Lytechinus pictus: one gene and its partner. The protein of the gene in region 1 interacts with the protein of each later gene in a biochemical or structural test. Links are inferred from orthologs where the notes say so. Each region holds a gene or a part of one and is shown on either strand. Other genes may lie near its edges. The genes, in order: probable citrate synthase 2, mitochondrial; alpha-crystallin B chain-like.

The links.
Region 2: the proteins of probable citrate synthase 2, mitochondrial (region 1) and alpha-crystallin B chain-like form a complex in vitro, tested with the Homo sapiens proteins (3 studies listed by BioGRID). The link is inferred for Lytechinus pictus from reciprocal best matches to the Homo sapiens genes CS and CRYAB.

What each region holds. Positions count from the first base shown.
Region 1 is NC_087257.1:28,091,285-28,107,386, forward strand, and holds the start of probable citrate synthase 2, mitochondrial, read left to right. Parts: upstream 1-9,062; 5' UTR 9,063-9,256; coding exon 9,257-9,304; intron 9,305-11,458; coding exon 11,459-11,509; intron 11,510-16,102. Other genes in the region: uncharacterized protein LOC129274671, read right to left, coding at 749-1,942, 2,390-2,854. UniProt on the Homo sapiens protein: Key enzyme of the Krebs tricarboxylic acid cycle which catalyzes the synthesis of citrate from acetyl coenzyme A and oxaloacetate.
Region 2 is NC_087246.1:44,745,038-44,760,872, reverse strand, and holds the start of alpha-crystallin B chain-like, read left to right. Parts: upstream 1-8,234; 5' UTR 8,235-8,620; coding exon 8,621-8,989; intron 8,990-13,070; coding exon 13,071-13,319; 3' UTR 13,320-15,835. UniProt on the Homo sapiens protein: May contribute to the transparency and refractive index of the lens. Has chaperone-like activity, preventing aggregation of various proteins under a wide range of stress conditions.

The DNA of each region.
Region 1 (16,102 bases):
TGCTGGTTTACAGTGTTGTGTCTGATTTAGTCTCAAATGAGACCAAGACGATGATCCCCGAGGCAAAGACCAAGAGGTTAAGGAGTTTTCACTTCTCCGATGTACAATGGATTTAGGAACACAGTAAATGTATTGAAAAATGTCCGTCAAATGACAAAGAACAGCTGGGAGGTCTATGTCGAAAAGTGGTGTACTGGAACAGCAGTTTCGTCCCGAGTTTAGGAGCTGATGAAAACTTGCACCATGATGTTGGTCTTGGGGTGAATCTCACTCACTAGGTGTTGAACCATCAATAATGTGATGTGGATCATTTTTGTAAACTCAGATCTTATGTCTTGGTGCTATTGGAGAACAGCCGGGAGGTGTTTGTTGATAAGTGGTGAACTGGAACAGCTGTGTCGTCCCGAGTCTTGGAGCTGACATAAACCTGCACCATGATGTTGATCTTGTGGTGAATCTCACTCACTAGGTGTTGAACCATCAATAATGTGATGTGGATCATTTTTGTAAACTCAGATTTTATGTGCTGGTGCTATTGGACGCAATCTGCATTGTGCTTCCGACACCAGCACCAATAACAAGCTTGAAGTCATCCAATGACCTTGTCCTGCTAATTCCCAGTTATTTTGTCTAGGCTGCAATATGAAGGGAGAGGGGAAGATGCAGAGGAGTGCTTCTGGTGAAAGATGCAGCCTACATTGTTATTACTAAGGTGCTTTATAAAGGACCATTTGAAATAGAGGTGACACTATTCCAATGTATCCATTTCTCGTTCAAAGGTAATGAGCTCATCCTCGATACAAACCATGATCTTACCAGATGAAGCACTTATTCTAGGGTTCAACCATCCTAATGTAGATATGCGATAGTTACTAATGACAGTTTCTACCATTGTCCCATCAAAGCCATATCGGCCAATCTTTAGTGACTTTGGGTTGGATTTGTCAGCAGAGAGGACAAAGAAGTCTCCCATTCCTGATGAGCACACTGAAGCATAAGCCCACTGGTCTTCGCGGATGACACTCTGTTCTATGCCATCCATGTCCAGTATTGTGATGCTTGCAGGTTGGTGCAAGATGGCAATGTGGTTGGCTGAGACAGCAATCTTCAGTGGCGACATTGGCATTGCTAGGATATCACGGGATTGGTCACCTCCCAGGATGTGGATAGTGTTCTCAGAGATGGATCCCGTGAATAATGCACCTTCTGTAGAAGCAGAGAGACACTTGAAATGGTGAGAACCTTGAGGGAATTCATTTGTTGTCACCTGACCTGACAAATCCACAACCTTGATGACACCATTAGCATCTAACATGGCTAGTTTGTGTCTGCTCATGACTGAGATGTCTATAACATGTCCTACATCTTGGAAAACGTGCCTTTGATGACCTGCAGGATCTACAATGCATACCCCACTTATCTGGTATCCCAGTGCCACTGAACCATCTTTCATTGTGGCAATTGCTGTTACCAGATCACCCAACTGCCTCTGAACTTTAACTGTTCGCACCATTATCCATCTTCCTGGTTGCACTAGCCTGCCAACATGGCACCAACACTGATGAGTTTCCTGAGTTCTTTTGACAAACTTGAGTTCTGGATCTAGGGCACCAACCTTTACATGGGCATTCTGTTTACACCAGCTCTGCACCTGAATAGCCTTCAAAGATTCCTCAAGATTGCTTTTCCACTTCAAGATATCTCCTGGATTCCTTTCAGCTATTACCTTTGATTCAGACATGGTTATCCTTGCAAGTTTGGCCTGAATCTCCAATCCTTCCTTTCTTGATGATTCTAGATTATCAATGCCGGATTTCTCCAGGGTCTTGATTCTTTCTAGCAGCAGGGAACGTTTCGATTGCAGATATTGCGTGAAATACTTGATTGCATCATCACAAGCTGCTGTAACACTTTCCTTGAGAGCCTGTGTATGAAGGGGTACCTATAAAATATAAGAATTGTGGAGAGAAGGAAACAAAAAAATGCGTTAAAAACATTGTAGTCCTTTGATCAAATTACATTCGTGGAAATGGGTGTATTAATATATATTGTCAAGAGTGTTTCAGAATGATTCAAAACCTTGTTTCTTACAATGATACAGATCATGTTGATGTAACCCGGCAAATAAAATTGTACTGTGCTTGCCAAAATGTAAATATTAATATCAAACATTCCCACTTTCTATAGTTTTACTCTTTCTCTCTCTTTCTCTCCATTTCTCGCTTCTTAATATATACTCATTTATTTTTAACGAAACTTAAGGGTAACTGGTAGACTGAAATACCATTCTCTTCTCTTTAATTAACACTTTTAGGATAAATCCAATTAACGAAGAAACAACATTCAAACAATGCACAGAAATTAGAAAACTGAAAGACTAGTCACTCACCTCTTCAATCTTCTTCTCAAGCTGAGTAATGGCGTCACCAACTGTATCCAGCTTCACCTCTGCTTTGAGCAGGATGTCCTCCGCCTCTCTCTGTATCTGACCTACAGCTTCAGACGCACTGATCCATGTATGACCCTGCTTCTCATGCTCCAAGATCACACACGATGCACAGATGAACACATCACAGTCTCTGCAGAAGAACTTCTTCCACTGACCATCATGCCGTTTGCAGCAGCCAAAGTCCAGTCCTTCCTTGGCATCAGCGTCGGTATGGTCTCCTTTGAAAGCACAGGGTGTCCTATCATCATGAAGTTTGGAGGCAGTTAATTTCCAGGCAGTCGATGGTCTTGTTCCAGTGTGGCCATCTGCATCTTCATCTTTCAAGTTACTGCATGGCCTTGTCAGAATCTTCTCCTCACTGCTGTCCTTTTCTCTGTAGATTTCAGAGATGTCACGTGGCTCCATATTATTTGGACCTTCTTCAGTCCCATTGGATGCAACTTGATTGAAAACATGGACTGATTCAGAAACTATTTTTATAATTATAAGCTGATTCACTTTTAAATCAGACGGATCTCTGATGACTCATGCAACAACGTGTCTTGATGATTGGCAATTGTTCTCCCTCCATGGCCATTCTTTGGCCGTATTCCTATTTTTTTACAAACTGCTTAGCTGATGTTAATTAAACAAATCACCGACAGACGCATTATTTATTCCATGAACTTGGAAAGTCTAAGTGGGTAATCAACCAACACTCGTTGCCGATCCTTGCAAACCTAAAATTGTTACTGTACGATTGTTTATATCCTGAACTTATAGGCCCATAGCTTGTTGATCGAAGTTTGCATGCGTGATTATGACAGGTTGAAATACCTTATTATGGAAGTTTATCTACACATAATTTCCCTGTTCATGAAAGGTCACTTCCTGGACCTTCTTTGATTGTTAGTCAGATCACAGGAAAATAAAAAAGTCAACTTAACCGCACTGTTTCCGATTTCCACAAAGAAAATGGTCTATATACATTCCAAAAAAATAACATACTCAATTTTGAATAAATACATTATCAAAGGGACGCTTTAGTTATTTACTGAAATAAGAGACTTTATAAACTCTATCGGAAAAAAAATGAAGAAGATTCTAGTCCAAGCGAATAGCCAAATGTATATTTTTTTTGACAGGGTATTATTTTTTTTACCGTAAATTATTGGGTCTATTAAGTTCCCCTCTAATGGGGTATCTAATCATGCGAATAACATTTTAGTAGATTGTTTTCGAGTGTAGATGTGAATATCCAAAACTACTAGGGGGACAAGACGTCCTGATGTGGAAGGCTTTTTTTCTTCAATTTAATTGTAGTTAAAGTTACTATACAGGATGTTAAACGAACCCGACCTACATGTATATAGCTCCGTTTCTATATATTTTTTTCCTTCTTCCCCTTTTCTTCTTCATCTACATACTTCTTCCTCTTCCTCTTCTCCTCCTTCTTCTTCCTCTCCTCCTCCTCCTTCTTCTCCTTTCTCTCTCTCTCCCCCTCTTTCTCGATCTTTCTCTTTATTCACATCTTTAAAAAAAAAGCGATTGGGAGTCATTGCCCCTCCCCACCCCGTGCCGCCGTCCTAAACATAGCTTATTTCGGCTCGGTCTCTTCGCTTTTACATGCAGGGTAACATTTTTCCCCGTATGCCTTTTCTCGTTCATCAATAATACTGTTTTATATATAATCCGTATTCCTTTCCTATATACAAGCTCTTTAAATTATTTTATCAATAAGTATATACATTTATTACAAATAATGTGTCTCTTGATTGTTTGTGTTGTTTTGAGGTTGATTTCTTTACCTCAACGAGTATAAAGCTTGTAATCTTTCGGGCTGGATCGAAACGGACCTTGGAAACAAATAGAGTACATAAATGTTTCCAAAACAATTTCTTTTAATTATTATTAATTCGAGCGATTAACAGGTTGTTTGCTATGTGAATTATATCAGGTGCGGATCCAGCCTTCGCCAATAGGGGAGCCCGGATTTTTTTTCAGCCATATTTTCCCCGATCGGCCGCTCGAAGATGATTTTCGGTTTCTTTGAAGGGGTAGTCCTAATAGTCAGTTTTTAGCTTTATTCTTATCGATCAACATAAATATATAATATCATAATCCTTATTTATATAATGTGAGCGCGAAGCGCGAGCTAATTTTTTTGGAAATCTTATGTATTTTTTCCTTAAACATTCTGGGCAATGTCTGTTATCCTGAAAAAGATGTGTATGCAACTAAATAATTACTACAAACGCGAAGCGCGAGCCGAACTGATGGAGAAGCTACCTGTTAAAGACTGCATGCAGTTTTTTGACATTTTTACCCGAAGAATGGAAATTCTAAGCACTTTTTATATAACTAATTTAAACAATCAATGCGAGCGCGAAGTGCGAGCGGAAAATTTTGAGATTAAAGTATACATCCGAAGAATCAAAAGTATTTTATAATGACTTTATGTGGTCATCATTGTAAAGGGGAAGTATTACTAATCAGATATATAACTTCACTTTTCAAAATAGTGATCAGAGATTGCAGAAATCAGCTCTTAAAAATGATTTATATTCATGCCATATTTCTGCCTTCCACCGGTCCTCTTGCGAGCTCCAGCTGAGTGACGTCACACAATGAGCAGTGAGCAGCTGAGCTGACAGCAGCCCATTGGAGACGATCTTTCCAATCAGCGTTTTTTGCTCTTAGAATTGTTTATTCCTCTTAAGATTGGTCTTGTTATATAGATAAAAGTTTGAATTTACTGAACAGTGAAAAAAAGTGCACATTTAACGTATTTTGGTAACCGATATTTAGCTTAGAATTTTTTTTTAAAGAAATATATGTGAATAAACAAAGCATATTTTCACGTAGAAATCACACTTGCGTCACATTAATGTTATAATCAATATAAAGCATAGACATTCTTCTTTATGACTGAACAAAAATTATGAAATTTCATTGAGTAGCAAAGTCAGGAACCACAAAAAAACACGGCAATATCCATCGCGAAATGACTGAAATTGCAGTTGAGTTGCCGAAGCATTATTAGGAAACAGCGGCGAGCGGACTTTCTTTCATATATCTTTAAGACATCAATAAGACTTTTTAGTGACATATTTGTGTATAAAAAGACAAGACCTTTCCATTCATATATAATTTGTCTATAATCATCACTTTCGTGAATTTTCTTTGGATGTATACTTTAAGACCTGCTGAACGAGACACTATTCGTATTTTGTAAATCATGAAAAGTATGAGTAATTGGGGATCTCCCTTATATTAATAATGCGAGCGCAAAGCGCGAGCAGAAAAATTGTATATGCGTTTTGAACTGATCGAAAAGGTACCCGTTAAGAACTGCCACTTAGCCATGGAGACGTTACGTATTTCAACAATCAAATCATGCGAGCGCGAAGCGCGAGCTGAAAATTTTTGACATTTCTACATTAAGAATGGAAAATTGTAATCAATTTTTTATAATCTTGAACAAGATAGCTATATAACTAAGCAATTGATGCGAGCGCGAAGCGCAAGCTGAAAAAATAAATCGAGATTTAGACCTAAAAACTGGACACTCTATTCATGTTTTGTAAATCATGAAAACTTAATGAGTAATACGGGATCTTTCTACATTAATAATGAGAGCACAAAGCGCGAGCAGAAAATGTTTGATATTGTGATCTGACACTGGAAAATGATGTCCTTAGGACATGTCATCATATGAAAATGAAAACTGTCTTCCTATTCCTCTTGCTAAGCTCGAGATGAAACAAAAGTGCCAATTCAATTATTAAATAAATATCTTATTCATTAATGCCTAACAAGGGCGCGAAATCTGATGATATGATGGCCTGAAATCTGGACATTTCAATCACTTTTGTAATTATAACTAGGATGCATCAGTTAATATATTATTAACCATTAATGCGAGCGCAAATTGCGAGCCGAAATTTTTTTATACACTGTCATGAAAAGGGGATTTTACGTAGTTTGTTGTATAATCAATATTGAGACATAGCTCGCCAATCAAAATGCGAGCATGCAGCGCTAGCTGATACGTTTTGACAATCAGACCTGAAAAGGGATATTTTGAAAACTTTATGGAATACACGAAAATAATAGGTATCTGGTAAATTAAAATTTGCAAGCGCGCAGCGCGAGCAGAAAATGTTAATATTCAGACCATAAAACTGACATTTTTACAGAGCACTTTTTTAAAATCAATTTGTAAATCACACAAAATAATGAATGTTCGATTTCTGAGATGAAATGTATATGTTTTGTATATTGACTTCCAAACTTGATAGATATTTAAATTCCATATTGAACAATATATGTAAATCACCTAAAAGGCAATGCGAAGCGCGAGCGAAAATTTTATTTAGTGACATGAAAGATTTTCTTAATTAGTTTCCAAGTCTTCCCCTCATCTTATTTTATTCACTCGTCTTCTTCCTCATATAAATGTCCCCCCCTTCTTTTTTCTCCTCTCTCTTCTCTTCTTTTTCTTTTTTTCTTTCTATCCCCTTTTTTCTTTTTTTGCTCCGCCAATAGGGGGGCCCGGGCCCCTCGGGTCCCCCCTGGATCCGCCTATGTGATAGTTGTTTGATTAAAGGCTGTTAAGTATAATTAAGGTAATAGTTTCATGGCATAGGATGAATCCGTTGCCAAGAATTACTCATTTTTAAACATATTTGATTCTTCGGACATATCGGAGATACGGTATATTAAAAAATGACTAAAATGAAGACTGTATAGATCGATGACTCCTTTTCTCCGATTTGCTGGCTTTTTAGATAACAATTAAAGAGCTCAAAAAAATGATTCACTTGTTAGATTATATGTTTTAGAATATTAAGAAATAATTTTTGTCTTTTCCTTATCAACGGCAATAATGATGTCACCCCCCCCCCCTCCCAAGGCCCCCAGGTGCTGGGATATCCACAACCCACGCCCATCGTATATATGAAAATTGATCATCAGCGATAATTAAAATGAGATTCGTCATTATAATATATAGGCTTACGCGAACCGCGAGCGAAATATTGAAGGTTTGAAGGTTTTATTAGAATATCCACATATCGCAGCCATTTAGACTGAATTGCATTGGATTTACAAAATATAACAATAAAATGATAGGATGATATAGCAATCGAACTTTATAAATATATTATTTACAAATAAAAATACAAACACTTTGGATAACTTGACAGATTAAGGAAAGGGTGACCAGAGTGTAGAGATAATGGGAAAAGGAGATACAGTAGAGTAGGGAAAGAGGGCTGGGGAAGATGAGGACAGAAGAGATGAGTATGAGAGTAGTAATACACAGATGTAATTCTGATTTAAACCAAGTGAGAAACTGAAGAGTGAGAAACATAGTTGGTTAAATTAAGAAGAGTACATGTACAGTATATCAAAATATAAATATAATTATGGTATAATGATATGTAAATTAACTCTCTCTCTCCCCTTACATGAGTGTATTGAAACGTATATGGTATACGGGATTTTGGTGAAAATTGACTAAGAACATTAATACAGCAAATAGGATGATAAAACATACTAGTTATCAAACAAAACATTACTGAAGAATTTGAGTGCTAGGGGTCTGAAGTTTACATGAAATAATAAAAGCAGAAATCTTCAAAAATGTACCGCATTTTAAGCTTAAACAAGGAAAAGAATAGTATACAGTTGAATTTTGGAATGAAAAAGAACAAATGCAATCAATCAATCAATCAAAAGAACATATCAATTGAACAAAGAGGCGGATATGGAAGAAAATATCATAAATGGACCATTCTGTAGACAATGATAAACATATATTAATTATATTGTCATTAAAATAATAGGGCACCTATTGATAGGCTTAATTTATTTTTGTTCTTAATTCTTTTTCATTTTCTTATTAATTAGTCTTCTTCTTGATCGATCTAGCGATAATCACATTATACCTAGAGGAGGTGCACATACATACACTCAGGTCTGAGTTAATTCGATGCTGTGAAAATTATACCATTTTTTTTCAATTCAATCAGGCTGTTATTTACTCGCCCTTCAATTGGGAAGCTCCCATTTCACGAGATTTAGGGAATCAGTCAAATCATGCAGGATTTACATCACTGACGTACAGATAGGGGCACTTGGATCCCCCCTCAATGGGATGGGATCACTAGCGTAACTACGGGGGGCAGACTGCCCCCCCCCCTGACGAGTCACAACCCATGCAAGGGACATATCCCTGCCCCCCTGACGAGTCTTGAAGCCCTTTTTCTTTTTTTTTTTTTGCTTATCAATTTTTTTTCTGGTACGGAATCCTTTATTTGTGATTGAAGACCTTTTTTTTTTTTTTTTTTCTTTGCTTGTCAAATTTTTTTCTGGTATGAAATCCTTTATTTGTGGTTGAAGACTTTTTTTTTTTTTTGCTTGTCAAATTTTTTTCTGGTATGAAATCCTTTATTTGTGGTTGAAGACTTTTTTTTTTTTTTTTTGCTTGTCAAATTTTCTTGGCGGACGAATTTGCCCCCCCCTGTGGAAAATCCTAGGTACGCCACTGGATGGGATCATTATTTTCATCACTTCTCCGGCCCCTCGGAGGGCTCGAAGCTCCCTTTTTCACCCCGACCCTGGCGCGCCCCTCGGAAATCTAGCTCGCGAGATCGAGATCGCGACGGATCGCGAGCAGCTATCGAGCTCGTGATGACCCGGCCGGATGACCTTTAAGAATGCCGAGAGCTTCCGGTACGCTGCTGCAGAAAACTCGCCGGTGATATTGGACTGGATTAAAGTCCCCTTTTACAAGTAATCTGGCGTTAAGTTCAACCTAAAATTATGTCTCTCGTCAATATAGCAACTAGGAGATTACTTCTACATGCCAAGGTATGGTTTATATCGTGTGTGGTTTTTTTTAGGTGAATATTTCGCGGTGATCATGATTTGTGAATGAGGTATGGCAACGCCGCCCTGACGCGACGCGGATTCATGCTGAATACCGTCTTATCTCAGAGTGCGAATTTCGTGCAGGCTCCACTCCACTACCGCTACACTACGCTCCACCTACCCGGGTAGGTGGAGCGTAGACGTAGTGTAGCGGTAGTGAAGTGGAGTGGAGCCTGCACGAATTTCGCCCGAAGTAAATACAGTCTCTAGATAACCGGTACTGGACATACGGTATGGTGAGACTACCACATATCGACCACCTCTTTTGAAACCGACCACCTTGCGCGTGTTAAAATTATTGCGTATTATTAGGCCTACAAACAATACGCGCGGGAGAGTAGGCACAGTGTCCGTAAAAACGGTAAGAATCGATTTTACGAGAAAAAAAGAAGCAACAAAAAGTAAAAATTTAGTAGAATTAATCAAAATTGTATTGACCAGACCCAAACCCCGCTGAAAAACCAAGAAATCCGATAGGAAACGTCTTTAGAACAAATATCCGTCGTCAATCGTCGAATCATGTGCCGGAGCTCGCAGTGGAAGTAGTGAGACGATAATTTAGCATGTTGACATCATAGAACTAATTTTGAAAAGTAAAAATATTTCACCACTGCGGCAAGAATCGGCCGTAAATTTAGCGTAACGCGGGTGCTCGGTTTCAAAAGACGGGTGCAAATGAGCAAATGTAAAATCGTCGTATTCGTTGTTCGTCGATATATACGCGGATTGAATCGGAGTCGCCGAGCGAAACATGGGATTCTGATCTGCTCAATTTTCTGCACAAACGAGACAAAAACTGGGTAAAATTGATAAATATTTTCGCAGATACGATGCTTAGAAGATTAGGTGGTCGATAAGGGGTAGTTCCAACCATACATGCTGTGTGTGTGATGAGAATGAAATGAAGTGAAGCGAGAAGGGACACTTGTTTTACTGACTATTTTCTGTCTGGATCTGGATGTATACGATGCAGGGCCCTCCTCCTGGGCATAAATGCATCGGGTGAGAGAGGGCGGAGTGAGGATTAGAAGAAGAGAAGGTTCTGTCAATGGCCTTGAATGAGCTTGTCGATGTTGAGTTGATGACAGCGTCACTCAGGTGATTCCACTCAATGTCATGTTATGATACTGATAGTGGATGGGAAGATCGAGTTCCTGTATTGTTCAGTTCGTGCTCTGATTGGATTGTAGCACTTGTTATTATTTGTCACTTGACTATCTATAATATTTGTAGTGTCACAGTTTTCAAATTGTGCATTGTGTGGCACGGATACGTCTGTGACTAAGTCTAAGCAGAGCTAAGAATTTTGTAAGATAGTCACTGCACTGAGAGCGAATGTAAAGTCAAAGGCCCTAACGTTATGTGTTCCACATATGTGTTCTCTCAAGAGAGAAAAATCAAAGAAACATAATGCTAAAAATATGAATATCGGATGTAAAATAGGAAAATTATGACTTTTTTTGAAGTTTACATATTTTTTCACAAAACAGTTAAATGCACAACTCATTGATAATAATGAGAGAGTCAATGATGTCCTTCACTCACTATTTCTTTTGTTTTTTATTTTCTGAATATACAATATAAGATTTTTACAGATTTGACAATAATGACCAACTTGACTGAACCAGAAAATGTTAAAACAATGGTATTTTGACATGTTCGGAGAGAAATAAAAACTTTGTTTCACATGATAATGCAGAGAAAATGGAAGTATTCATATTTCATATAATAAAATACAAAGGAAACAGTGAGTGGGTGATGTTATCAGCTCTCTCATTTGCATACTGACTAGGATCTGCATAACTATTTTGTGAGATTAAGCGAAGCTTTAAAATGTCAACTTTCTTATTTTACACATGTACATCAAACTTTGAAGAAATTTTCAGTGTTGATCTTGTTGGATTTTTCTCTTTTTATTCAATTTTTTGTTGGGGTGGACTTGTCCTTTAAATTTAGTCTTACTGTAAAATCTTCTAAATTGATTTTGTCATTTTTGTGATTGTTGATTTACATGTATATAAAACTTTATTTGGAATTTACACTGTATGCTGAGATTCCACCATTGATTTAATGATTTTCTTCTTTTCCTCACAGAATGCTCTACCTGCATTTGGTGCTGGGGTCAGAAATGCATCAGAGTCAACAGTAAGTAAAAATAGCTACATCACTAGGGGGGGGGGTGCACACCTGATCTTATAATGGGAGACATGGCCCTTACTCTGAAGTCAGGGGAGCGTTTCATGAAAGGACTTGTCGGACGTTTTATCCGACAAGTACTGTTTTATCCGACAGTTACTATGGTAACGGTGACTCTCAGCCAATCATTATCAAGGAAAGTTGTCAGATCTGACAAGTTGTCGGACGAAAATGTTGATGAAACGCTCCCCAGGTTTAACTTTATAGACCATGGTCTAACTCTGCTAAAATTAAGGAAAGCCAAAAAAATTTCTTACATTGTAATTTGTATGTTCCTTATAGTTACTATGTTCTTTTTTAACTCATGGATGGTGAAGAAAGCTATCTTATTTATCCTTCCGAAATAGTGAAGAATGATTTAAGAGAAAAATGAGCTGATCCATTGAAATTCTACTGTTAGATATTTATGCCACAATTTGCTATCCATAGTTAAACCACAACTTTAAACCAGAATTTGAATTAAGCCCGAACTTCAGAATACGGGCCTAAGACTTTAGGGCCTGTAAATTGTCATGCCTACGCCTACGGGAGGTGCACTGAAGACGTGACTAATGGGGTATTGCAAGAAACTTGCAATTTATCTTAAAAGTCAGTATGAAGTAGATCCTGATGGTTTTGGGGGCGTGGGGTGTCTGGACACTTTAAAATTTTGAAGTCTTCTTTCTGGCTTTGGATTACAAAAAAAAAATATGAATTTGATAGTAATCTACTTCAGTTTTGTTCTCTATAATATTGCTTAACTGTTTATCAAAAAAATTGATGGAAACTTCCTCGTTAACTTTTCCAATGGCTGCTTAAAATTGATTGTCCGGACACACAACAATTGGGTATACAGTGTACCAAATTCATTTTAAAGTGATGCATTTCATTCCAATTTGCAATTGATTTGATGTTCTGCTTCTTGCATTGATTCAGTTAAAATATGTCTATCACTAGCAAATTGGCATCTGAAATATGCAATTGATTGCAAATAAATCTTGCAACACTTCCTAAGACTTCAATCCAAATTACAGGTCATCTATCCTCTGAAATGAATCTTACAGATTTTTCTGTTGAGGTTTAGCCTATATTATTAATAAATGCAATTTATAGGCGCAATGTCCATCTCAGTAGAAATGCTCAAGGGAGCGTTTCATCAATATTTTTGTCCGACAAGTTGTCAGATCTGACATCTTTCCTAGATTTTGATTGGCTGAGACTCCTGAGAGGCTCTGTTGCAAAGGTTATTGTTGGATACAACAGGATTTTTTTTGGATGAAACGTCAGACAACTCATTTCCTGAAATACACAGTCACAGGTTTGGGGGTGGGCAAACAGAATATTTTACTCAAATCATTGATAAAGTAAGTTTAATGAGAGAATTTATACAAAGGGTTCTGTTGATATTCACGTGACATTGTGTCATGTGAATATTAACTGAACCCACATTAATGGATATTTTTTTTTACCAATGCTACACTTTCTTTTTAACAATTTGGTGCAGTAAAATTAAAAAAGAATGAATAATCCAGTCAACTCTGTCCATTGATTCTCAATATTATTGTTTGTTTCGTACTGAAATGTACTTTACAGATCTATTGATTTAAGAAATTTTCTTTCTTAGTCTTAATCTTCAAATTTATGGCAAAACAAAAACTATTTTTGCATTGTTTAGAAATACAGTATATTCCGAGGCATACACTGTATTTATAGGGCAAGTCCAAGAATTTGTGGGCGTTACGTATGGGACATTTCAGAGGCTTTAATGACCTGAAAAATAGTGTTTAATGACTTTGATTAGATTGAATACCCTCATGATGGTAGACATCTACATGTAGGAGAAAAATAATGATGCAAAAAATGGTGACAAATGACCTTGACCTTTTAGAGAGAAAAGATGTGCCGTTACGCATGGGACGCAGAAAAAAGAAAATTTGTAAAACATTTTTTTCAAGTTGAGAATTCTCTGAAAGTACTTCATTTGACAACTTGTAACTTAGTGTGATAGAAGTCACAACACTATTGTATATCTAAGGCAAGTTTCATGCCATAAGCCCAAACCCTCTAATTACAGACTCTAATTAAACAAATTAATGACATGTTACGTATGGGACATTTTGTCCCCATAGAGAATGTACACAATTTTTCCCATAATTTCAAAAATTAAAATAATTTGAATTATAAATGTAAATAACAAAAGATTTGTTTTTCTTTTAAAATGTTCTATTAAGACATATTTGATATGACTGAAAAGGAAATTAGCCATTTCAACAATTTTTATTCTTTTTTTATGGTTTCATGAATTTTTTATGTATTTCTAATGTTTTTTATTTTTTTTCATATTTTTCAATTTTTTTACAATTTTTTTGCTTTGATTGTTTTCATTAATCAGTATTCATAACAAATCAGTCTTTAAAGCTAAATGATAGTAGTTGCAGTAAACACTGATTTCGTGAGAAAGTCTGTAAAACCAAGGTTAAATATAACTATATCATCGTGGATCTAGATCTGGTACAGTTACATAAACTGAACTCTGTGAAATCATAAAATCTAAGCTGAAAAACGATCACACTGAAGATCGCCAACACAGATAGGCACACGTGGGACAGTATATTATTATTGCTGGAATAAAGACCCGACGGAAGTGCCCGAATCCGCGCTTATTTTGCTTATTTCTCAGCAATTACACAATTTCTTCCAGAATCCTTTGGCACATATTTTTTATTCATACAAACCGACACTTGGGTGGTCATTATATTGGATTCTTTAAAAAGTCATTTTGAGATCGTTACCAAAACTGGCATTTACCTTTAACTAAAGAAAAGGTAAATAATTACTTTTTTTAGCACTCTTGAAATTTGTTTTTCTCCATTCACTTTGTACACAAATCTCCCCATTGACATTGTTTGTAAATGTCCCATACGTAGCATGTTGTCCCATACGTAACAATTTTTTAATTAACTTTTGATATTTTTGAAACTTTTTGTGGTATAACATTTTCATACTTAATAAATTAGAACTTCCCAGAGATGCAACAATACAAGTATTGTATTATGAGAAATAACTTAAAAAAACATCCTCAAAATGTTACGTATGGGACATTCCATCCTTGGACAAGACCTAATTTGCATATTTAATTAGATGACACCACTTTTTTTTCCCCAAAAGTAATAAGATGTTAGGGGGTCCATGTCCCACCTATGACTAAATCTTACAAGTTTTGTTTTGATTTTCTATGAGTTTTTATAATTGTCCCATACGTAACGCCCATTTTACCAATTATGCAAATTAGGTGCCCCAAATTAGCATAAATATGCATATTATCAAATTTTTTTAATGAAATTTTTAAATTCAACATTTGGGCTTTCTTACCCCATCAAAGATAACTATTTAAATTAAAGATGAAATTTTGCCTTCTAGGTTGACCTTTTCTTGGACTTGCCCATTATAATATCATAACCCTATCTTGTATGAAACAGAATAATGATAATTCAATAAATTGATATTCGTAGGTGAACCCTAACTTTTTTGTACAAGATTTGCCATAGTCTAACACTTATACACCCTGAAGAAAAGTTCGTTATAAAAATAGCAGAAAAAATAATTGAAAAATATTGGTGAAGGTTTGAGGAAAATCTGTTAAAGATGAAGAAAGTTATTAGAATTTTATTTTTAAGTTTTGGATTTATGACGTCATAAACGAGCAGCTGCCTCATACATTATGTTATGTAATTTAAAATGCATGAATTTCACTTTTGTAATGGTTCCTGATGACTTATGTTTGTTTTCTTTTCATGATCGGATGTGAATTGATTTGTCTATTGATATACATGTACAAAAGGTACAGTAAAAACCAATTTCAATTTTCAGAAAAAATGACATTGATATTACCATTTGCTATACATGTAAGAATGCTGCTCATGACATCACAAATCAAATAATTAAAATTCTAATAACCTTTTAAAGATAGATTTTTCTCAAACCTTCGGCAATATTTTTATTTTTTCTGCTATTTTTACACTTAACTTTTTGTCAGGGTGAACTTCCCCTTTAATTGTACATGTGCCCTACAGGACCTACTCCATCATATCGGCCTATGTATATGAATTATTAGGTGTAATCAATTACCAGCATCTTTACAAAGAAATGCAATGATATCCATGTGAGAAGGGTCTGGTTTGATGTGCAAAGGGAACCCATTGTGTCAGCCTGCAGGTGTGAAAACTGCATACTGTACATCTTTTTATTTGAAAGCCTTAGAGATTATGGAAACTATTTTTATTTGCAGTTATGAAATCTGCATAGGTTTTGTAGTTTTTCACTTAAAAGGGAAAAATATACATGTATTTGTCTTGGCTTTTTTCCTATCTAGTCAAAGAAAGAATGATTTCCTCCAAAGTATTAAAGTTAAGTTAATTGGCCAGATTTTAAAGTATCGAGCAGAGTTCAGATTTTTTTCCCCAGTAATTGAAGACCTTGGACTTTGTTAAACGTCAAGTTCACCCCAGAGAAATGATGATTTGAATTGATGAAGAAAAAGTCAGACCAACATTATGCTGAAAA
Region 2 (15,835 bases), on another chromosome or scaffold:
TTTCGCAGCATGGTGACGTCTTATTTTCTTCATGGAATTATAGAGCTTCAATCAGATGCATGTTGACTTGTAAAACAGATATGACTTACTTCTTTTCAAATTGAATGATATTTCAAGTAATAATGGACACTGATCATGATTGAATAATTATGACATTCAAACGGGTATTCATAATTTGACTTAAGCAAAGATATTTTTTAAGCAAACGGAATGTGACTTAACTGTTGATGGGGATGAAAATTATAAGAACCAATATCACTGGGGAATAATGAAGTAGAGTATAGATCAACTGTGTATCCATGGTATAGTATGAAGTATAATCACAACTAGCATGTCTAATATCGAGAGAATATCATTACACGTCTTTGAAAAACATTAATTATTCATTTATTTAGAATGTAGGTGTTGCTCTAGCACAACCATAATTTAGGTTTCGCGCAAACATAAATAGGAAAAGCTCCTGGCAAAGGTCTATAACGCTTAGAAAGGATTAGTCGAAATAACCAATATGTTGGTAAATATATGTCCTTATAAAAAAAAACTGTTGGTTAGGATCTACCAGATATTTGAACTTTACCTTTAAGTCGGAAAAAGCTTTCAACACATAGCAATTCTGTCTTAATCATATTAATCATCTGACCAGAGAAATGGCGGATGTGATGGGTATGGTAATGGGGTGAGGTTGAGGAAGGGAAGAGGGGGGGGGGTACTCGATACCCTTATCATCCTTCCCGTTGCTCTCATTGAAAACAACATAATTAATTCAAACAGAGTTAGAACATGCTTCATTAATGGCAGAGTGAGGTTAATTGCTATAGTCATTGTAAGCCATATCATGCCATACGGTTTCCTCATCTTCAATGCCAGGAGGTAAATTCATCATTCAAGTGGACTAACTCAGAGGGGGAACGGGGGACACGCCCCTTTTGAAGCAGTTGCCCCCTTTTCTTTACTTGTTTTCTTGCTTGCCGGCTCCTTTACGGTAATAAAGACTTCTATTTCGGAGTGATAAGGTTTTGGGGGTACTTTTGCTTCTCATTATTAATTTGAGAGAAATTGACAAAATTGTTTGTACTCCGTGTGTGAATACTGGATCCGCCCCTGCCTATTGCCCCATGAAACAACGATGAGACATATATAAGTCACCTTCGATTGTAATGATAATAGCAGGCTTGTAGGTAATACTGTTGTGCATTTCAGTTTTATGTAGGCCTATAATATGTTTCGTTTATTTTTGGATTAGTTTTTATTAACATTTGATAGAGGTTAGTTCCTCCATTGTCAGGTATCATTATTTAGTGGCCGCGATACCATGGTCCGCGTTATTATTAGGAAAATCATCGTGGATTCCGACGTCATTACCATCATATGTATTTGCACCAACATCATCATCATCATTGTCGTCATCATCATCATCGTCGTCATTATCATCATCATTGCCCTACTCATCCACCACTTCCACATCTTCGCCATTATCACCTTCACCATGGTCATAAGCATCATAATCACCACCACCATCATCATCATCATCACTGATAGCCCCATTTGTCATGATCGTTACCATAAATATCTTTATTACACACTGATCATTATCATTGTGGTCACCATCATAACTCTCGTGGCCTTTCTAATCATCATCATAATCATCATAATCATCATCATTATCATCATCATCCTCAAAATCATAATCATCCTCGTCATCCTCATCATTGTCATCGTCGTCACCACCATCACCATCATCATTATCAACAGCATCATCATCATCACTATCATCGTTTTACCACCATCGTCGTCGTCGTCGTCATCATCATCACCACCACCACCATCATCATCAACAACAACACCAACACAATGACAGTCACCTTGCAACATTACCTTCACTGTTGAAAATAATTTAAACAACGCTGTTTACTATGTGAATAGCACGGTAGTTGTTTAAAAAAAATTAACAAGTGTTTAAAATCTTAAACAACACAGTTAAATTCAAATATTTAATTATCAATAATTCAAGCATGGTTGTTTAAGATTTTAAACACTTGTTTAAACTGTTTAAACAACTACTGTGCGATTCACACAGTAAACAGCGTTGTTTAAATTATTATTTAAATTATATAACAGTGTTGTTCATTATTTTTTTCATCGTAAGGAATGTTTATATCATGTCCTATTTTACCTATGCCTTCCTCCTTCTCTTTCTGTCTTCACTGCTCTGTTTACTCTACACCCCCATCTCTCCCCCTATCTCTCTCTCTCTCTCTCTTAATCTGAAATCTCTATCCGGCATCTTTTTTCTTCCTCATTCTTCCTCCCCCTTCTCCATCGTCATCATCTTACTACCACCCATGAATCCTCGAATCCTCAGATGTACTGTTATTATATCGATTTCTAATTTGGATGCCCTCGATTACCGATATATTTCACGAGGGAACATTGGCTGCTTCGGGAACATCTGATTATAATGCAACATCGCAAGTAGCAATGTAAGAAAATATTTTGAAGTAAGGGCTATAGTTCGCCACGGCAAGATCAATGGCGGGTGTGCGGATTCATTCTTGTCATGTGTAGGTGTTTTTCTCTATATTCTAATAAATGAAAAATAGAGAAATAGTAGGTTGATTATTTTTTAGGTAGGTCTTACTCTATATTTTTTAAATAGAAAAATCCTCCATCCAGCTCTCTCTCTCTCTTTCTCTCTCTTGCTTCCTCCTTCACTCTTCTTTCTCTCCTATCTCTCCCCCTCCCCATCCCCCCTCTCTCTCTCTTTTCCCTCTCACCCTCTCTCAATCACCATATCCATACATCTATATCGTCTTTAAGTCTTTATCTGTTCCTCATCTTCCCTTTTTTCTGCATTTCTTTATCCTTGTTATTGGCAGCTCCATTTCTATTTCAAACCACACGGTGGAGATTAACGAACGATAAAACCTTGATATTATCCTACCATCTACCCTAATTTACTACAAAATGATCACAATATGTATCAGACTCTCCTTTCCTAGAAGCAATAAATCCATCCGTCTCAATTTCAGTCTATATACTTCTTGGCTACTTTATCATATACGTGATGTCAATTCCCTGAACTGGGAGATTTTCTGTATAAAGGAGCTTTTGTCAAGGGACGTGGACATTTATTCTTAGTCGATCTGTATCTGGAGGTGTTTATTTAGTTTTAATTCCACACCGACTACTATGTCTGTTTGGAGATTTAGATTTAGAGGAAATGTGTGCTCGATGGTGATCAAGTGGTAGATCGTCGGACACCCCTATACATGAATCTATGTTTTTAATGAATTGGGTGAACAGGCTGATAGCCAATTATCAACAAATTCGTCTGCTCTGTATAAGTCAATCTGTCTTTCTGTCAACTTCCCCTCTCTCTGTCTGTCTGTCTGTCTCTCTCTCTTTGGAGATCGGAATTACTTCTTATCTTAATATGAAGATTTTGTTAGGCAACACTCCAAAGTACACTGGTTGTGTCATATTTCCTAAACTGACCCCCTTCTCCCCCCCCCTCTCTATCTTTCTCTTTGACGATCGAAGTCATTTCATATCAACAACACTCCTACGTACACTGTTTGTTTCATTTCTTGATCGACCCCCCCCCCCCTCTCGCTCTCTCTCACACACACACGCACCCTTCGACAATCGACCATAATCACTTCACATCTTATGAAGATCTTCTTTAGGCGCCAATCCTACGTACACCGGTTGTCTCATTATAATCTTGAATAATGATCTACTCCCCCTTCACTCTCTTCCCATGTCTCTTGGTACCCCCTTCGTCTTGCCCCCCCCCCCCTTAACCATACCATTTCCTCCACAGTTATTATTTTCAATTCGCTTGCTTTACGACACCATTTCCTGAAATTGATGTGCCTTCGTTTCGATTTGCTGTACCAATCATTGCCATGAATCGCAATTTTTCCAAATAATTTCCTTCCAGTTTCCTTTCAATTTCCCTTCTTCATCGCTGTATATCTATCTATCTCACCAGCCAGAATGCACATGTAAGGTAGGCTGAGACCCATTCAGATTATGTGTTCTAGTCATGCACTTTGCACCACGATTTACAAGAGGGGCCAATATAAGGGCAGTGGAGAGAACAAGACTGATTTGAAATCTTTAGGGGCGATTGAAGGGGTGCGAAAGCTGACAATGCTGGTAACTAAATACATATAGTCTCTTCACGGTGAACTAAGCTGTGCAAAAAGTATTTTTTTAAATGCCGCCTTGTTGCCTTTTTATGAATTAAAGCTTAGGCCCTATTGAGAAAACTAAATGGACAAAATTTACCGCTTTCTTGTTATTTTTAAAAGGGGCTATACATGGATTACAAACCTGTCAGTTGTTCACATTTTGGGGGACAAACACCGGGGCTCAGACTTTTGTCCTAACGTCATGGTACACTCTGTCATTTATATATATATATATATATATATATATACATGTATATATATATATATATATATAAATGTATATGTTAAAAGTGCAGTTCACGGGTATATTGTTAATATGACAAATTAATTTCTTCATATTGATTCTAACACTATTAATCAATTTGTATCAAGATTGCATGTTGGTCGCAAATCAACCCAGTGAACCTTTCAAACAAATTATTTGCATATTACATTATAAACTGCTGCAATTAAGTTTTGCTTTGTCATGTTCGTATAGACCTATACTCTTTAAAATCACCCTGGCCCTTCACTCAACACTTCACTCCACCATGCCACTGACGATAACGACGGACTGTGTCATATGATATGGGTCTTGTCACACGAAGATTAGCCATTGATTGCAATGTTGATCTTTACGATCGTTTGCACTGATCACTACGTAAAATCATATGTGTACATGAACGTTACGATCAATCGCCAAGCTTTGTGTGACATATTCATGGATGATGGAAACAGAAGCTAACTTTCATTTGCAGACGTTCGTTCTGCTTGCTGGGCTCTCACAGACCAGAAGAGAGGCTCGAAAAGAGGGATACAGTGAGATATCGATATCTACATTTATTCGCGCCCAAAGCTTGGGAAGAATACATTCAGATCCGACGTAGATTACAGCATAAGTACAGCATTAATCATGTGAAGTGTACTGCTCTGCCTGGGGAAAGCTCTTCAGACTGGTTTTATTGGCTCTACCCCGAGACTTAGAGATGAGAAATGTTTTTTTTACAAAGTATACAGTAATTAAAGGGGAAAATTAAAGGCCTTTACTCTGAGAATCACTCACATTCGTATGAAATTATAGGTTTAAAAGCTCGAGGTTTAGATGAGAATTTCCAAGTCCTTACAAGATTACCACTCATTGTAAACTAAAATAGAAAACAGCGCATATCAATATTATACAAAAAGGTGTAATAAACATTTCAATTCTAAACACTATTTATCTTTATTGTTTAAAAAAATATAAACATAGAAAAATATAACTTTGCTATAATTATCAATTTAAAAAAAATCTTTTTCTTTCTTTTTATTATCAAACTTTACATGGAGACAACAATTAAGGTGAGGTTTCATTTCTTTTTCAATTTTATCAATATGCACGGTTACTATCAATTTCATGAAAAAATAATATAATTTTCACATATTTCTATCCAATTATTAAATTCGTTTAATTCTTTCAATAATGCATACATTTAATCATTTAATCTTATTGCAAATTAGGATTTTTTAGGTTTTATTATTTCATAGCCTGTTTTCTCCTCTCTCTATATTTCAAATCCTTTTGTCTATCCCACAATTCCAAGTATTAATAATCATAAAAGTAAATAAAACAAGGTGGACAAATTTTCTTAAGAAACGAAATGCGAATGCGATTTGAATAAGGAATGTGGATTAAATATGTTAAAATGTAATAAAAAATGTATGTTTTTGAAAGTATATTTCAAACCTGAATGATCCACAATTTATATAATTGTATGAATCATTTATATCAATTTTGAATCAATTTATAAATTGATGAAAATGATTTTTTTATGTCACAATCACTAATTAATTCACTTTTTTATTCTTGAAGTAGGGAATTATTATGATTATTTATACTTTCACATGATACCATAGCGAAGAAACTCACCTCGGTCACTATTCACCAAATAATTCAAAATTTCACATTTCCATAACTGCGTCGTTTACCATCCGATTTTGAATAAATTTTCATTGCTTTGCTTGTTTGATTCCACTCTATTTATATATTTCGATTTTGTCAAATATGTGTATGTGTAAACATTTTTTTTGTAAAAAATAGTTAAATAGTTAAAGTGATTTTTTATGTCAAAATCACTTATTCATTCACTGTTTTATTCTTGAAGTAGGAAATTATTATGATTATAATTTCACATGACACGATTACGACGAAACTGAAGGATGGGAGCATCACGTCGGTCACTATTTCACCAAAATAATTCAAAAATGTTAATTTCCATAGCTGCGTCGTTTTCCAACCGATTTGTTAATAAATTTTCATTGATTCCACTATATTAATTCTATCCGAATTCTTCTCAGCCTATATAGGGTGTCCTTGTAAAATGAAATGAGGAATCATGGCTAATAGAAAGCAAATAGTCATTCCATCACGAAATATCTATTGGGCGAATGCTTGGCGCTTAATTTCACTTCCCGATTGGGGAACATACCCGACAAGAAACGATTCATATCCAGGATAAACATGATTAATGTTTCCTTCTTGATGGGATTTTTTCAAGAGATTTATATGAGATAGTTAAAGGCCCTTTTATATAAAAAAGACGGGTAAATAAAGATAACATAGATGTTACTGATCAGAGTACCCCTGACCGCGACTTCTGTAGATTTATATCTTTAAGTGAGACACGCCGTGAAACAGACTTAATAATGGATTGTATATAATAGTAAATTTAAATTTGCATAATAATTATGTCATGATATAAATTGGATAAGAATGATTGCGATAATGAATACTTTATATGGTACATTCCTTACCGTTTAGTGCGATGGTAATTTTGTATTTAAGAGTATGTCCCCTTCAACATTGATCAGGCTCCAACAAAATGTATGTGGAATGAATGTTATGCACGTCTCATAATCGGATTAGTACTGTCCATGGAATTGTAACGATTTCATTCCTCCAAATTTGCCGAGAGGTAGAAGGCCAAAAGAGAACCCTACTATCAGTACGGCATACCTCTATACGGGAGAGGATGTATAATGCATGGGCCGCGGCCCCTGTAATGGCGTGTAGGTATTTGTAGCAGCCTCGGGTATATGAAGTGATTTCAGTAGAGGAACATCCCCTTCTTATATCCCCTCAAATCACCTCTGTATCGAAGATGAAGCTTCTTTCATCCGACCATAACACCACTCTACCAGCGGCGGGTTATTGGTAATGTTTATCAAGGCGTGTAGGTATTTTGTAGCGGCCTAGGGTGGATGTCGGGATTTCTGGAATCTGACACGGTTAGTCTATATTCCGTTCAGTATATTGACATGCTTATGATAGATAGGACCATCAGAGAGCTGTGTGTTTAGGAGTGACATGATACAATCGACCCCCTTTCTATCCCATTTGTCGGAGTCCTCTTGACTCTTTCCCCTTCTCTCCGCTCTCCCCCTTTGTATAAAGCATTACACTAGTGACGTCACTCCATTCTAATTTTTCTTTTAAAATTGTATTCCTCCCCCTCTTTTCCCCTTGTTTTGTCTCCGTTTCACTCCTTCTAATCTTCTATTTCACGCTCTGCTCTTCATGGTCTTCTCCTCCCCCTCTCTCTCTCAATCTTTCTCTCTCTCTTGTTTGCCCCCTTCCCTCCCTGGTACCACAGTTCTCTCACTTTAACACATACCCCCATTATGCTACAATTGTCTTAGACCATGTAATTGCAATCCTCGTTTGATTCACAATGATTCACAATCCATTAGTGTAATTGCATTTAAAAGCACCGCTATTTTGTTCAACAAGTATTCTCTCTGGAACGAATATACATTTTCAGAAATAAAACAGGTTGGTTAATAATAATTATAAACGTTTAAATGTTGGTTACAATGAAATAAGCGAATATAGATTTTTAATTAACCAATATTTGATACAGGTTCATAATTATGCTAACCAACATGATAGGCCCGTCAAAACATTTCTGAGACGGTGTGACATAGATGTACGGATAACCATTATCATTCCCCGGTATTAATTTGCACCTCGACGGTCGCCCCCCGGTCCCCTTTCTGATGCCTGATGTCAGGTGGATGGAATTCATTGCATGATCTAGATACCAGTGCAGGGTAGGAGGGAATAAAACCCAGCTCCAGTTGTAGAGAGCTACCGTTAACACACCCATTCTCTACATCAAGTGCCGGTCGCTTCTAATTCCTCTTGCTATCCGGACCAACTATTTCCTTATGCATCTTGGAGGACCTATATACTTTCGCTCTAGTTTTGGGTGTTCTGAACATCTCACCAAAGGGAAACAATTTGAGTTTTATTAAAGTTTATTTATGTATTTTGGACTTAAGAACGATTATACCACGTTTACACTACGATTATATTACGATAACGCTACGAGCACACTGTAGTTCAAGTTCTTCTGTCCATAATTCCCTTTGCTTTCGCAATCCTGGAGCCCGATAATCAAAACTTTGGAATGGCTTTACGACGAGATCCTTACAATTATTCTTACAGCTCTCGACGTCGATTCACCGACGACGGCGGATGGGATCATCAACCAATGCCTAGTCGACTCGGTCTCGAGCAACGCTTCGGCGACGCCGTCCATTTCGAGGACGACTTCGGCGACTTCCCGTCTCACCCGAGTTCTTCGCAGTACTACGTGACATCGAGGCCGACGACGGCGATGGTGCCTTCGAGGAGGATGGAAGTCGCCAGCATGCCTCCGATGAGGATGGGGAGGACACCCATTCCCGTGTCGACGGGGGATGTCATGATGACGGATACCGACTTCAAAGTGGCTGTCGACGTCAGTAACTTTGACCCGGAGGACATCGAAATCAAGGTAAAAGGAATTGATGACCCTCTTATTTCTCCTGGTTTTGGTGGGTGTTTAATAAAACTGTTGATAAGTGACGAGCAACTTTACGAATAACTGGTGATCCTTTCTTGTGGTATATGATAAACACCAAATTTTCATTGATGTTGAATTAGCTTCTAAGAAAAGATCACCAGTCGTTCTTAAAATCGCTCGTAAGTTACGAACAGGTATATGAAACACCTATCAGGATCACCGAACCATCCTTGTGACTCTATCCCCTTCCCCCCAAAAAAAATTACCAAGGGGGAAGAAAGGGGACTTTAAACAAAACGGGGCCTTGGTCATGTAACTCTTAAATTCAATAATCATATTTTTCATGCAAGAATGGACTTCCCCTTCGGGACGTCTTGCCCCTTTATCAAAATACCCCTGGTGCCGCCCATCGTGTATACGAGTCTCATGTGTCTTTGTTTGATTGGATATCAGGGGCCGCGGAACCGGGGGGGGGGGGGGGCTGGGGGCTTCAGTTCCCACTTTTTTTCTAAATAGTGTACAAAAACGAAAAAAAAATGACCATCTGATTGTGATTTTTTTGCATGGTCAGCCCCCCCCCCCCACTTTCAAAGCCGTTCCGCGGCCCCTGGATATTATGCATGTTGTGTGAATGCCAATCATAATCAGAAAATTATTTCCCATTATGGAAAAGCTTTATGACGTGTTACAGAAAAAATTGAGACCCATTTTATTTCTGTTATAACTCATATTTGTGGGAAAAAATTATAACAACCAACATTTGAATCGAAATAAGGAATCTACATTAAATAGGTTCATGTATCTTCAGAATGTGGACAACTGTCATAGATTAAAGATGACAATCCTCAAAATAATGCTTTATTAAATGAGATTACATGTAATATTCATGGCGGTCACGTATGTATTTCTTAGCTTTCTCCATAGCAAATCATGCAAATCTACACAGCACATCAATTTAATACTGTATGATAAGAAGGACATAACACCTGAAAATAAATAGGCCTCTAATATGTAACTTTGTGGTTGGATGCCTTAAATTTACAAGTGGTTTCATGGCAATGGAAATAACTTTGATCCAAGAACATGACAAACAATAAATAAAATATTTTTTGTTAATAGTATAGGTTGGTGTGGACTTATATTCGGCCGGGTGAACTAGTTAGAACAGCACTCACTTTAATATTTCATTTCATTTCATTTATTGGTTTTTGCAACATTTTTCATAACAAAATTCTGGACAAGAAAATACATATCTGAAATTTTACATCAAGATAATGAACAATAGTTTTGTATATAAATCATCAAATATATCATACATAAATGAAAAATATTAAGTGGTATTTTCTGTTACACAATAAATAGGATGGTTGCAAGGGTCTTCACAAAAGCAAAGCTTGAAAACGTAACAGCCCTGGAAAATAGCCAAAATAATTAATATCTATTGTCATAAAACGTGCAAGTGCATGAGGGACTGGGAGGGGGGGGGGGGGGGCAAGGGAGATGCTTGGTCCTTGGCATGAAATGTTAGAAAAAAACACGTTTTGTTGTTTGATTTTAATTTATACATGTTCTAGATAAAAGTAAATGTCTAATTAAAATAACGATAACAATGATAATGATTTTCTTTTTTTTATTTGTTAGGTATTGGTTTAATTGCAATTCTTTTATAGTTCGTTTAAAGGAATAAAATGATCTTGTCAGCTTGAGTGAATCTGGCAATGCATTCCAAATATCACTATATCAGGTCCATGATGTCTTAGTGTTTTATGTGCAAATAGTGTCCTGGGATTGTTTAAGTGAATATTATTGCATGTTCTTGTTGGATTTGAGTGTAGATTGTTATTATATGAAAATAAATCCGTGAATCGATCCGCTATTACATTAATGGCCGTCCAAACTACCGTAGACCGCAATTTATCACCATACTACCAAAGTAAGAAACTCCTCCTCACTCCCACACCCACACCCATGTCAAAAACAATCCCTCTCTACAAACTTTTCACGTTACCATGCAATACTACAAGTTGTATTTCGAACTTGAAGAGAGGGTGTTTGGGCACACACTAACTGTTATTTTTACCGTGTTGGTATAACCATGGAGGTAGAAAGAAAGGTATAACGCACCTCTGTGACTCGAGTTGACGCCGCCACCTATTTAGGCTATGTACATTTATTTTGCGTAGAAACAAAGTCAAGGTCATTAATGCGTTTTGGCTTAATAGGTTGTGTACACGTGAAAAATAGAGCATAATTATTATTTTCAATTTTTGAAGGGAGAAGTAAGGAAAAATGACAAATTAGATATAGGCTAGTATACATGTTTTGTATATATATTGTTGTACGGGATAACTCCTGGTCTTTGGATGTTAATAATTACTTTGGAGTTCTATGAAGCATTTGTTTTTAATAAAAAATGGATTTAACAAAATCAATGACAATAAACGCATACAAATAACAAGGGAAAGAGAAGGAATATGTAAATGGTCAAGTAGGCCTAACCAAACTTGAGGGTGGATTGATAAAGAAATACATGAGAAATTATGACTACTTTTGCATGACGGTTTTCAAAAATCTCAAACGGTTTTCAAAATCTCAAAGTATCATTAAATACATAATGATTTTCTATTATTTGTTATTTCATATTTGGGGTGGTGAAGGTTGGAGATCGTGTTTAGTAGTAAAGGACCATCCGTCAGTATCCACTTTCATATACCTCGATTGTTACGTGCTGTATCCAACTTTGATGGAATTTTCGTGAGGGCAATGTAATGATCCCCGCTGATTTAATTGCATGGGGGCGAACATTCCTATACGTGCAGTCATCAAACTAGAATATTCTTGCATACGTTTCGGTGTGTGTGTGGGTGTTCATTCGGAGAAGGTATTTTTAGAAGACGTCTCCCCCGATATATCGTATGGCTATTATGATCACGATGATGGTGCTTGCGATGACGATGATGATGACGATGATGAAAATGATGGTGGTGGTGGTGATGATGATGGTGATGATAATGATGGTGATGATGATAATGATGATGATGATAATGATGGTGAAAATGACGATGATGATAATGATGATGACGACGAAGATGATGATGAAAATGATGATGGTGATGATGATGATGATAATGACGATGATAATGATGATGAAGATGATGATAATGTTAGTGATGATGGTGATAATGATGATCGTGATGATGTTGATAGTGATAATGATGATGAAGTTGATGATGATGTTGATGGCGAAGATGATGACGATGATGATAATGATGACGGGAACATTGGCGTATAAGCCTATATTGGGGTTTGGGGCCCGAAATATTCCACGACCAAGAGAAATAAAAAAACAAAATGTTGGAATATGACATGACTTCCAAATATTGCCCCATACACAATGTTCAGCCCTTATTTTTTGTTTTTGGCTCATTACGTCATTGATGACAGTGATACATAATAAAGCAATGAATGAGATGCAAGATGGAATATGCACAATAAACACGCTGTTTAAAATGTTTATACGATGCTGTTTACTGCATGAATTTTCAACACTTTAAACAATGAAGCTTAATTTATCAAAGATTAAATAAATTAAAGAAAATATATATTTTTGTTTAAACTGCTATAAAACAACTTCTGTAGACTTCATATACTAAACAGCCTTGTTTGAATATTATAATTAACGTCATATATCTTTATTACAAAAATGTGCCTATAGGTGCTTCGACTCAGACCATTATATTGAATTGAATTGAATTTAATTTATTACCAACTATTACTGTCAGGTACAATAACATGGAATAGTACATTACATATAAACACAGCATTTAGTAATTGGAGCTAACATAATAGCAAGGTGCTAGTCGAGGTTAGCCCCAAATAATGTCATTATCATAGTTTAAACAATAATATTAACCAAATCTCAATATTGTACATCAAATTCAGTACTAATTCTACTTATTACTGATGCAGACAATTGCGATCATTTTTAGTGAACATAAAATACACTATTTACAAGAAAAAATATCTTAATCTGTTGATACCATTTTTTTTCTATCACCCCTCCCCCTCCCAGATCGTTGAAACCGAACTCACCGTGCACGGCAAGCACATGGAAAAACAGGACGACCACGGCAAGATCTCCCGGGAGTTTACCCGTCGCTATACCCTCCCACCCGATGTCGACCCTACCACTGTGACGTCATCACTGGGCCAAGATGGCATCCTGGCTATCCAAGCTCCCCGCAATCCTCCCAAACCAAAGAACCAAAACATCCCCATCAAGGTTGAGAGTAAGCCAGCCATCGGAGGGGCTAAGAAGTAAAATCACCGAAAGTTCTGGGGCCCCGTTTCATAAAACTTGTTATAATAACAAATTCGCAATAACAGTTTAAAGCAACTGGAATCATACAATATTATGATTGGCTGATAGTAAACTTGTTATAGACATTGTGCGTTTGCTATAATAACAAGTTTTTATTTTATGAAACGGGCCCCTGGTGGTATTATAGTCAAGCCACCAGAACAAACTCCAAACCGATTTCACCCCAGCTGGTTACAAACTTTAATGTGCCATGAAAATAAATTTTAACGAGATGGGGAGATATGTTACCTCGCCATGTCGACTTTTACAGAGTCTGTTGTATGTCGACATGGCGAGATACGTGATCGACGTTTACTGTTTACTGGGCAAGATTGTTATCTCGCCGTATCATCATATCGCCTTTTCTGGGGCTGACTTGACAAGATCTCGCCATGACGACATATAATTTTTTTATAGGACGACTTGTCAAAATTTTACCATGCCAAAATAAACCTTTTTGTAAGTCGACATGGAGAGATAACGCATTTCCATGTTGACATACAACTTTTGTGTGTCAGTTTTCACAAAACAACATATCTCGCAACATAATGAGTGTATTAAAGTCGACTTGGCAAGGTGACGTATCTCGCCATGTCACTATCGGGCCGACTTCGGTTTCACTGATGTGACCGTATATGTTCCCAAAGTTATGTTACACAAAGCTTTATAACGAATGCCGGTAATAGCCCATAAAGTGTAAACATATAGTCCCAAAGTCGTACCGGACGGTGTAGTAAATCGTTACTGCGACAAAGGTAATTTCACTAACAGAAAATATTTATTTTACGTCTCTAAATGAGAGATCGCAATATACAAAAGTGCTAATTGATATCTGCTTATTCAGATTTTAGGTCATGCGATTAAAACCATTGGAGAACTCGATGGCTTGCCATAAAACAGTTGTTCGTAACATGTCATTGTAACTTTAAAACCAGCTTTGTGAAACACCTCCTGCATGGAGCACCGACTTGTAAAGAGTTGTGATCGATCGATTTAAATCGAATTAAAATTGATATTGATCTCAAGTTGTGTTGTTAAAATATAGGAATTGATAACAATCCCGGTTTGTGTTTGATTTAAATCAATAGCAACTCTACGCAAGATATAGGGACATGGTGTATCATTAAGCACCTTCTGTGATATATTTTCTTTAATATTTCGTTTCTTTAATTCACATGGTAAGCCTATATTGGGACAGGCGATCGGCCTCTATAACATTGCATTTTTTATTTTTTAAGTATTGTACAATTTTGTTGTTAATTAGCAGAGTTTGCTTGTTTCTTTATTTCGATTATAAATGGCAAATTCCTAGGCTTATCAAGAAGCAATCATTAAGACCCTGTTAAGGATTAGAAATTCTGTAACTTTAAATTGTTTTACAAAGATGTCAAGTAAAATTTTTTGTTTGCTTAATATTGATTTCTATTTACAAATTCATAGATAAATCTTCTGTAAATCATAGCTTGACTTGAATTTAATTTATGCGTCAATACATAAATAAAATAAATCTTTGAATTTTGTCTTCCATTGAGTAAGATCCAATTTCAAATCAAACCGCTTTTATTTGGCTCCGAGCTATATCATTTATCACTAAAAGTTTACACAAAAATAATTTCACAAAATCATGTGATCTCATTGCACTGATGCGGTAGGCCTAAGGCCTACAAAAAACCTTAGACACCTTGCACCAATTCTAGTTGAAAGTAACTGAAATGCATATTTTTAAAATGAATTATGTTAGAAGTTTGAATGGATGATTTTAGGAGATTTAAGAAATTATTGTTTATAAAACAGATCAGCGCTATTCAAATCTGAATATTTTTTTCATACACTCTTAAAACATTGGGTAAAAATGCTCCATGAGGGTAATTATGTGTCCAACTAAAATTTGGCATTTGTTTTGGGCATTTTTATTTATCCATTGTGATGAAAATTTTGCCCATTCTAAAGTAATTGCTGCTTATTTTTTTAACCTTACTGGACAATATGCTTCCCGCATTGGGTAAAATGCTGCCACAAATTGGTTGGACACATAATTACCCTCGTGCTGGTTAAAATGTTACCCAATATTTTTTACAGCGTATAGTGTAGGATGTAATTGGCTGTTACGTAGTTATGTTTATACATGCCTACTCGTCAATAGCCTAATATTTACACTTAAAAGTGATTGGTCAAAATAATCAAAGTGTTTGGTGTGTGTGGAAATTAAACATTTCGAAATGAACTGATGATTCCCAATAATTACCATCTAAATCATTGATCTTCTTCTCAATGATTTTGGCTGGACACATGCATTCACCACGTCATTATTCGTTTATACACCAATCATTTCAAGAGTCTAAAAGTGTAAACGTTTGGTCTTTATCTTCCGTAATAACGTAACGCCTATTATTGTAGATGTTTGTGAATATTAATGTGTCAAATATACTCAGATTTAAAAGTACAATTTATGTAATTTCTTCCTTATTGCTTATAGC